2 linked regions of the Danio rerio genome follow. The protein of the gene in region 1 interacts with the protein of each later gene in a pairwise test. Links are inferred from orthologs where the notes say so. Each region holds a gene or a part of one and is shown in the gene's direction. Other genes may lie near its edges.

The links. The genes of interacting proteins can lie anywhere in the genome.
Region 2: the proteins of fhl1a (region 1) and mybpc1 interact in a two-hybrid assay, tested with the Homo sapiens proteins (2 studies listed by BioGRID and IntAct). The link is inferred for Danio rerio from reciprocal best matches to the Homo sapiens genes FHL1 and MYBPC1.

What each region holds. Positions count from the first base shown.
Region 1 is NC_133189.1:36,177,062-36,181,267, forward strand, and holds the start of fhl1a (four and a half LIM domains protein 1a), read left to right. Parts: upstream 1-1,403; 5' UTR 1,404-1,503; coding exon 1,504-1,525; intron 1,526-4,206.
Region 2 is NC_133179.1:18,380,271-18,384,392, reverse strand, and holds the start of mybpc1 (myosin-binding protein C, slow-type), read left to right. Parts: upstream 1-1,312; 5' UTR 1,313-1,464; coding exon 1,465-1,486; exon of another isoform or gene 1,487-1,510; intron 1,511-2,871; exon of another isoform or gene 2,872-3,024; intron 3,025-4,122. UniProt on the Homo sapiens protein: Thick filament-associated protein located in the crossbridge region of vertebrate striated muscle a bands. Slow skeletal protein that binds to both myosin and actin.

The sequences.
Region 1 (4,206 bases):
GGATCAAAAAAACATAATAATTTTGATACATGAAAACTAAAGAATCCGAAATGCCTGATATTCCATGATTTGTACAAAAAAATCAATTGTAATGACCGGAATAGACCTTTTGAAAAGCATGATCTGTGGGAACCCTGTCATTGTTCGCTTGCCAGTACTGATTCCAACTCAAACCAACAGTTTTCAACAGGCGTTTTAACAGATTCTATTGCTATCAGAAAAAACAGATCTGTTCTCTGAGTCATTTCCATTAACATTCATATGTACTGTAGACTGCACAAAATAAATACTTGTGATCCGATTAAGAAAATTGCATCTCAATACCAGGAGGAAACAGGACTATCATGGCCAAAGTATACAAGTTTAAAACATTTAGATCTCATTTACACCTGGATTTATTGTCGATGTTGGGTCAAATTCAACCATTGGAATAAAAAGTGTAATTTAAATTTAATTAAAAATAATAATCCAATGTTGGGTTTGTCCATATTTGACCCAACATTGGGTTACAACTTACTGGAATATACTCTGATTAACTGTTTTTTAATTTGCAGTTGCAAAGTTACTATACATTCACTTGTATATTGTAGACATTCAAAAGTCCTGCAGTGTTTGAGTTCAGACTCGAGTCCTTTCATGGAAATCATTTATAGATTTCACTCAGCTCTGCATAATTAATTATCTCTAGTCATTCGTATGTTTTGATTTAGTCATTCAAATTCATGAGCCACTACAAGAATCCTACAGCTGGTTCCAAATCAAGCATAGTTTTCCTCATACATCACAATCTTTAGGAATAAGTTGAGAAATAAGAAAAGCTCCACACTCTGTTGTATTATAAACATGGTTTGGCGTAGATGGAGAAACGGCTGTTTTATAGAGTCAAACTGAGTATCAAAGGCATCTGAGGACAGTTGCACTTTAGTGTCCTCCAAAAAGCCCTCAGAGAAGCAATTTAAGAAGCTTTTACTGTCTTCTTTTCTCTGCTTTCTAATTTTTATTGCAATGATTGTTTAATCAGACAAGCCAATAGCAACACAAAGTTTACTTGGCAAAGTAAGGACTGATAAACAAAGTTGTTCTAGGTGTGGTGCCATGTACTTTTACTAATCCATTGCAGAATGAACACAAGCTTCTCCAATATGAAGATCAGATTCCTTTATTCTGCTCTCTGATGTCACAAGCCAAGAATTCAGATGAATTTAGTTCTCTCCGGCTCCCTCCCCTTCACTTATCTTTTGCAGCACAGCCTAACATGGAGTGGGCAGCTGATGCTTTGGGTGGGATTACTGGGTTTGTGAGGACAGGCCATGATGGGTGTGGTAGGCAACTGGGGGGCAGGTTTTAAAAGGCAGCTGGGGAAGTACTGTATATATGACAAATACTTTCAAAAGAAGAGTGGAGTTCTCCTGTAACTCTTTGGCTATACTTGGTATCCTGTATCAATCCATCCTTCCATCTCTTTCACTTCTGCAAGGCTTTCTGTTTTTCCAGATAGCAGACATGAGCTACTACAGGCACTCAGGTAAAGATGCACAGCGTGACGATTGATGGATCAGCCAGTGGATTCTCTTGGCACTTGCATTTGTTTTTTAATCAGGCATATTGTATTTGGTTTAGCTGAGATCCAAAGACTGATCAGTAGGATTGTTCTAAAATAATTTCTATTATTTAGCTGTAAAGCATAGCATTTGTCAAAAGAGGCAGTAAAGGTATTTGTAATCACATTTCTGTCTCAACTAAACGATAAATTTAGTTTTTCATGAAAATAGTAAAAAGTAAAACCATTTTTATTTGTATATTATTGAGAAATGCACAAAATCAACATGTCAGAAGGCTGCTTAAAGAATCAGCTTTGGAAATAAATGACATTTTTATATCTATAAAATATTCCAAAAAAATATAAGATTTAAAAACTGTATCAGAATTTCTGTTTTTAACAAATAAATGCAGCCAGTGTAAGTATATGTTAGGATTTAGTTAACAGAAAGGGCTTTCTAATATACCCTGATGCAAATTGTACTTTATAAAAGAGGTGTCATTGTTTTATTTTATTTTTGAGAGGATTAGGCATTGTAATTCCAGTATAGATGAATACCAATCTTATTTGAGAGCTTGTGCAAAATAGATAATAAAGTAGATGCTATGTTAATCACAGGCAGGCAAGCACATCTTTGTCTGTATAGTCACTATAATGCTGAGTTTGGGTATATTTGTATGTGATCTCAATCTTGTCAGGCATGGGCTGGTAGAAGATTTTGATGGTATGATAGATAAAAAATATCATAGTATTTTGATTACTGCTCCAAAACATGTTCTTTTTTTAAATGTCAGGGGGGAAAAACAACAACCCCCTCTAAACACAATATATATTTTATTTGAAGAAACATTTATAATATTTTGGAACAGTAAACATTTCAGGCTGAATAACTGCAATAAATCGTTGGCTTCTGCTGTCTTCATTAGTTTCAAAACCAGATTTCTTTACAACTTGAAAAGGCGTCCCTGGAAATCTTTCTTTTCTTTGCATATAAATTAAGCCACTGCACTGTTCAGGTCTATAGCATGCTTGGCTGTAGGTGTACGAGAGATTTGCTTTAAAATTTTTCCTGAATCGCGTGCTGACCAGCTTTTGATGTGGAGGGTTCTTTTCTGCTGGAAATACTGTTGCACTAAAAAAACTAATAGTCGTAAAACACACACACACACACACACACAAAACAACGTACATTTACTGCCAGCCTGATCTCACGACAAAATGTAACTATTTTACGTTTTGTCAGTTTAGTGGCTAATTTGTTTGAAATTGTACAACTTCAGTCGAATGAAAATGTACAATTTTAAAAAGGAGGCATGGCACCCAAGCCACCCCCACCCCCGCCGCACCCCTAAACCCAACCGTCATTGGGAGATGAGCAAATCATACTAATTTGTACGAATGAGATGTACAAATTCATACGAATTAGCCACTAAATAAAAAAAAGTTATGAATTGCCACAAGATTGTGTTGATACTGTTGGAATGGTACAACAGAAAATTTTAGCAGTTTTAAAAATGACGTCCAAACCACGGTAAACCTTAAAACTGGTTATTGTCCCATGTGTAATCTTGTCCAAATATCAATTGAGCTAATTCCTTAATTCTGCATCATTTCCCCTCTTATTTGGCCTGCATTTGCTACTGTCAAATATAGCCATCTCAATCAATGTTTGCTTTAACGTGGACATGCTCTCTTCGGTTTCTGTTCTCCGTATGGCTGAATTTGATCTCGCGGTGACCTTTCAAAACAGCATTTGCTCTTCGCTTTGGGACAAAGAGGTCCGTTTGATAACACTGACAGAGCTGGCTAAAAATGAACAGCTGATGGACGCTCTCCCAAAAGGCTTAGGGGATTGAGCATGCTGGTCAGGTCAGGATGATTATTTAGTTTACAGAAGCCACAACACCGCTCCTGTATAGAGGAGAATTCAGCTAAAAAAAACGAACTGAGCTCAGACATATTTGGTATAGTGTAGCAGGTATAGCAGTGGACAACACGGTGGCCAAGTGGGTAGCACTGCCACCTCACAGCAAAAAGGTCGCTGGTTCAAGTCCCAGCTGGGTCAGTTGGCATCTTTGTGTGGAGATTGCAAGTTCTCTCCATGTTCGCTTGGGTTTCCTTCAGGTCATGAGGTATAGGTGAATTTAATAAACAAAATTTGTATGTGTTTAAATGAGTGTGTATGAGTGTTTCCCAGTACTGGATTGCAGCTGGAAGGCCATCCACTGTGTAAAACATATGCTGGATAAGATGGAGGTAGATTCCGCTGTGGCGACTCCTGATGAATAAAGGGACTAAGGTGAAGGATAATGAACAAATTATTAAATATAAAGGAACTATGCATATAAATGTTTACTCCATCTAAGATCGTCAGCATGAAAGAACATTAGAGGAAAGTTTTAGCTGAAAATGTGATTCATATAATGCAAGTCAATGGCTACCAGCACTTTAAAAGAGTAAATAAAATCACATGCAGGTAAGAGGAAACAAATACCTGTGATTGATGATCATACATTGAGGTAAAGTGATGTGAAACTGAACTCTAGTTTCGATATATCTTTCATAAAGACTCAAATACTCTTGAGTAGGACAGTCTGGAGCGTCTTAACGCATAATAACATACGGAGAAGCCGAACTCAAATAGGATGAGGCTGTATGTTTATGAT
Region 2 (4,122 bases), on another chromosome or scaffold:
GGGGAAAAAATAAATAGGGGGTCTAAAAACTCAGGGGGGTTAATAATTATATATATATATATAACATGCATGTTCTCCCCATGTTCACGATGGTTTCCTCCGGGTGCTCCGGTTTTTCCAACAGTCCAAAGACATACGCTATAGATGAATTGGGTAGGCTAAGCTTTCCGTAGTGTATGTGTGTGAATAAGTGTGTATGGATGTTTCAAAGAGATGGCTTGCAGCTGGAAGGGCATCCATTGCATAAAACATATGCTGGATAAGTAGGCAGTTCATTCTGCTGTGGTGACCCCTGATTAATAAAGGGACTAAGCCGAAAAGAAAAAGAATGAATGAATCATTTTTTAAATATATTTTCTTAATTTTTAAATGATAAATGATTTTTCAATTTTTAAATGAATTCAAATTTTCACATTATAGAATTTTTACTTTTTTATATTTTAATAATTATAATTCATTATTACAGATTATTCTACTATATTGTACATGACTTTTAACAAACTAAAAAATCCTATCCTTTGCCACATTTACATTTTTCTTTTTATTAAATATTTTGTATTTTTATCTATTATTAAAGTATATAAACAATGAAATTAAAATACATATTTTATTTTAAAAAATTACAAATTACTATATATACAGTTGAAGTCAGAATTTTTAGCCCCCTGTTTATTTTTTCCCCTAATTTCTGTTTAATGGAGAGAAGAATTATTTTATCTTTGCCATGACGATAGTAAATAATATTTGACAAGATCATTTTCAAGACACTTCTATACAGCTTAAAGTGACATTTAAAGGCTTAACTAGGTTAATTAGGTTAACTAGGCGGGTTGGGGTAATTAGGCAAGTTATTGTAAAATAATGGTTTGTTTTCAAAGGGGGGTTAATAATTCTGACTTCAACTGTGTTTATACAAAACATTGCAAATGACTCAAAATCTATAACGAACTATATTAGATTACACATTACCAAATTATATTGAAGGTTCAATCGAAGGCCTTAAACACATAACTAACATGTCTCTTTGTGACATATTAAAAGCAATGTCATCTTGTCTACACAAATACCTTCTTCTTTAGTTTTTGTTTTCCAGCAATGCACTGTACTCCAAAGCCCCTGTGTGTGTGTGTGTGTGTGTGTGTGTGTGTGTGTGTGCATGTGTGTGTGTGTCTCCAGGCCACCACAAGCCTCCTCTAATCCCCAGGACTTCAGCACATGAGGGGAGGGAGGTTTTTGGGCTCCATTATCAAAGACAGAGTGAGGAGTGGCTAAGATGAGCCTTATATAAAAACCTCATATGTTTATCACCCCCAGATCTGTTGCTTTCTCATTCACGGCCCTTCCTGCATCGCTCCCTCACATCCTCAGTGACTTCCACAGCGTTCCTGACCTGCGTTTCTGGCTAACGGAGAGCTTGTGCCACACACTCACCTCTGAACACTTCCAGCTGGAGAACGGCTCAACATGCCTGAGCCCACGAAGAAAGGTGAGCAGCCAGTCTGATGGAAAACTGTGGCACAAGGAGCAGGAGAATGCGTGTTAGGATGCTGTTTATCACCATTACTAACAAACATGCTGATAACAAACTAGCCACGCTGTGTTGTGGTTCTAATCTGATCAGTCTGTGGATGTCAGTCTAAATATGACTCTCACCATATACGCTACTAACAAGCATTTCACTATATATACATACATACAAAACAAAAGAAAGCGAGAGAGAATTAGAGCTGAGCGTTTATGCAGGGACTTCTGAGTCTAATTAGGTAAATTATCAAGATAAGCAAAATCTACAAATGAATATGTTTATGATCAATAAAATAATATCATAAAAATCATCAGTTTATGTGTTATAAAAAGATAACTATAATAAAACAAATTAAACTGATTGTGTTACTTAAAATAAACATGGACTGAAATGAAGTAGAATATACCTATTTTATTGTATCCTTTTTTATTTCTATTATTTAATATGTTTTTATTTAGATATACTTGATTTGTATGGTAAATTGCAGGAAATTTATTTCATACATTTTTATTATGATTATTTTTATATTATATAAATTTTTGGTTTATAAAATACCCTAAAATATAAAAATACAATTTTTGCATATATTATATTCATTCACTCTACTTCGGATTAGTGCCTGTATTTATCAGGAGTCACCACAGCGGAACGAACCTCCATATATTATATTATATTATTTTAAATTATATTATATTTTGTAATATCATATTTTGTAATATTATATTATATTATATTATATTATTTTACATTGCATTATATTATATTATATTATATCATATTATATTATATTATATTATTTTACATTATATTATATTATATTATATTATATTATATTATATTATATTATATTATATTATATTATATTATATTATATTATATTATATTATATTATATTTTTTTACATTATATTATATTATATTATATTATATTATATTATATTATATTATAATATATTATTTTACATTACATTGCATTATATTATATTATATTATAATAAAAAATGAATAAAAATAAATAAATGCTGGAATTCTTGCAAATTCAAATTACAAACAGCTGTGCTTGCTATTATGTACACAATAATTTGATGCAGATAACATGTTGTGAAATATAGTGTCTATCAGTTATAACAGAAGTAGATGCAGCTTTTCTGCAGTCATGAGAAGGGCAAACTGAGCAAAGCAGACATACAAAGCTCTGGGATGATCAGAAAGATTTTACATTGTGCTGGACGATGAGCTGATTTAAACTACTTTATAAAAAGCAACTATTGTCATGACTGTTGCTATGATGGATGGCACACAGTCAAGGCGATTGGGGATTGAAAGTATGGAATGGTGCTGATTTACCCGCTGCTGGGTTTCAAGTCCTAGAGCCGGGCTTTACTGCGCTGCCAGAGGCATTTCTGATGGATGATGCAATGCCCATGACCTGGTGGAGACGCTACGCCTTCACATAGACACATACTTCAGGGGTGATGATACAGAGATCAGCTTCCATGCCTAATGGAGAGATGAATAGATGGAGAAATGTAAGGATGCAGCATTGTGCTTGCTGTTGGACTGAGTTTTGTTGTTGATATTATTGTAGATAATACTGCATTTATGGGATGATGCTATAGGCAAGATCATAGTTTATTCAGACATTGGTCAGTTATTGAGAATTAGTTTTCTTAATTTCTCTTTTTTTGGGTTGGTGGAAAGAAAATTTGCATTTAAGCATTTATCCGCTTGTTAAGTGTGACGTCACACAAAGCGGCTTCCGGGTCCAATAAAACTGTACGGGGAGACTCATCAAATGATAATGATAGACACTTACAAAGCGATGTAATACTTTCAAAAATCATATATATTGCATATATTTTGGTATTTGTGATGCAGCAAGCCCAGAGAATTAAATTTACACTATGAGTTTATACAAAATTCACTTTAATGTGTGATATGACTAAAAAGTGGTCATAAACAAATATTTTCTCAATTGGGTAGTGGCTTGGACCCAGAAACAGGATTCCAAATGTCACGATACGTCACAACTTAACAAGAGGATTCTATTCATTTTTCAAGTATGCGTCTAATTATTTCAGTTGCAATACATATCTTTAGAGGCGTAAGGCTTTAAAAGTTTTAAGAAATATTTTTTAATAGTACATGGGGACATTTTTTTCTGCTTGTATTGAATATTTTCACATTTATGGAGTGATAAAAATAGGGTTATTTATAAATTTTTAAATCTGACTAAACTAAAACTAAAACATTTTGTTGCTGACTATAATTTATTTATTTCTAAAAATAGGTTTGTATAGGTATGACAAGATAATCACATTTAAAATATTCAACTAAAGTTAAAATCAACCCTGAAATTAAAAATTTTAAAAAAGTTTTAATATAGATTATTTAAACTTAAAAATGTTTAAAAAATTAAAATTTGTAACATGACTTTACATTTCTGTTCTGGAACTGAAAGCAAATTATCACACTTAACTAGATAATGCATAATTTGTACATTTAAGAAACAATATGGTCATTGCATAACTATACTGACAACAACACAATTGTCCTAGAGCCATATACACAAACAGCTTACTAACAGCACAAACCCTT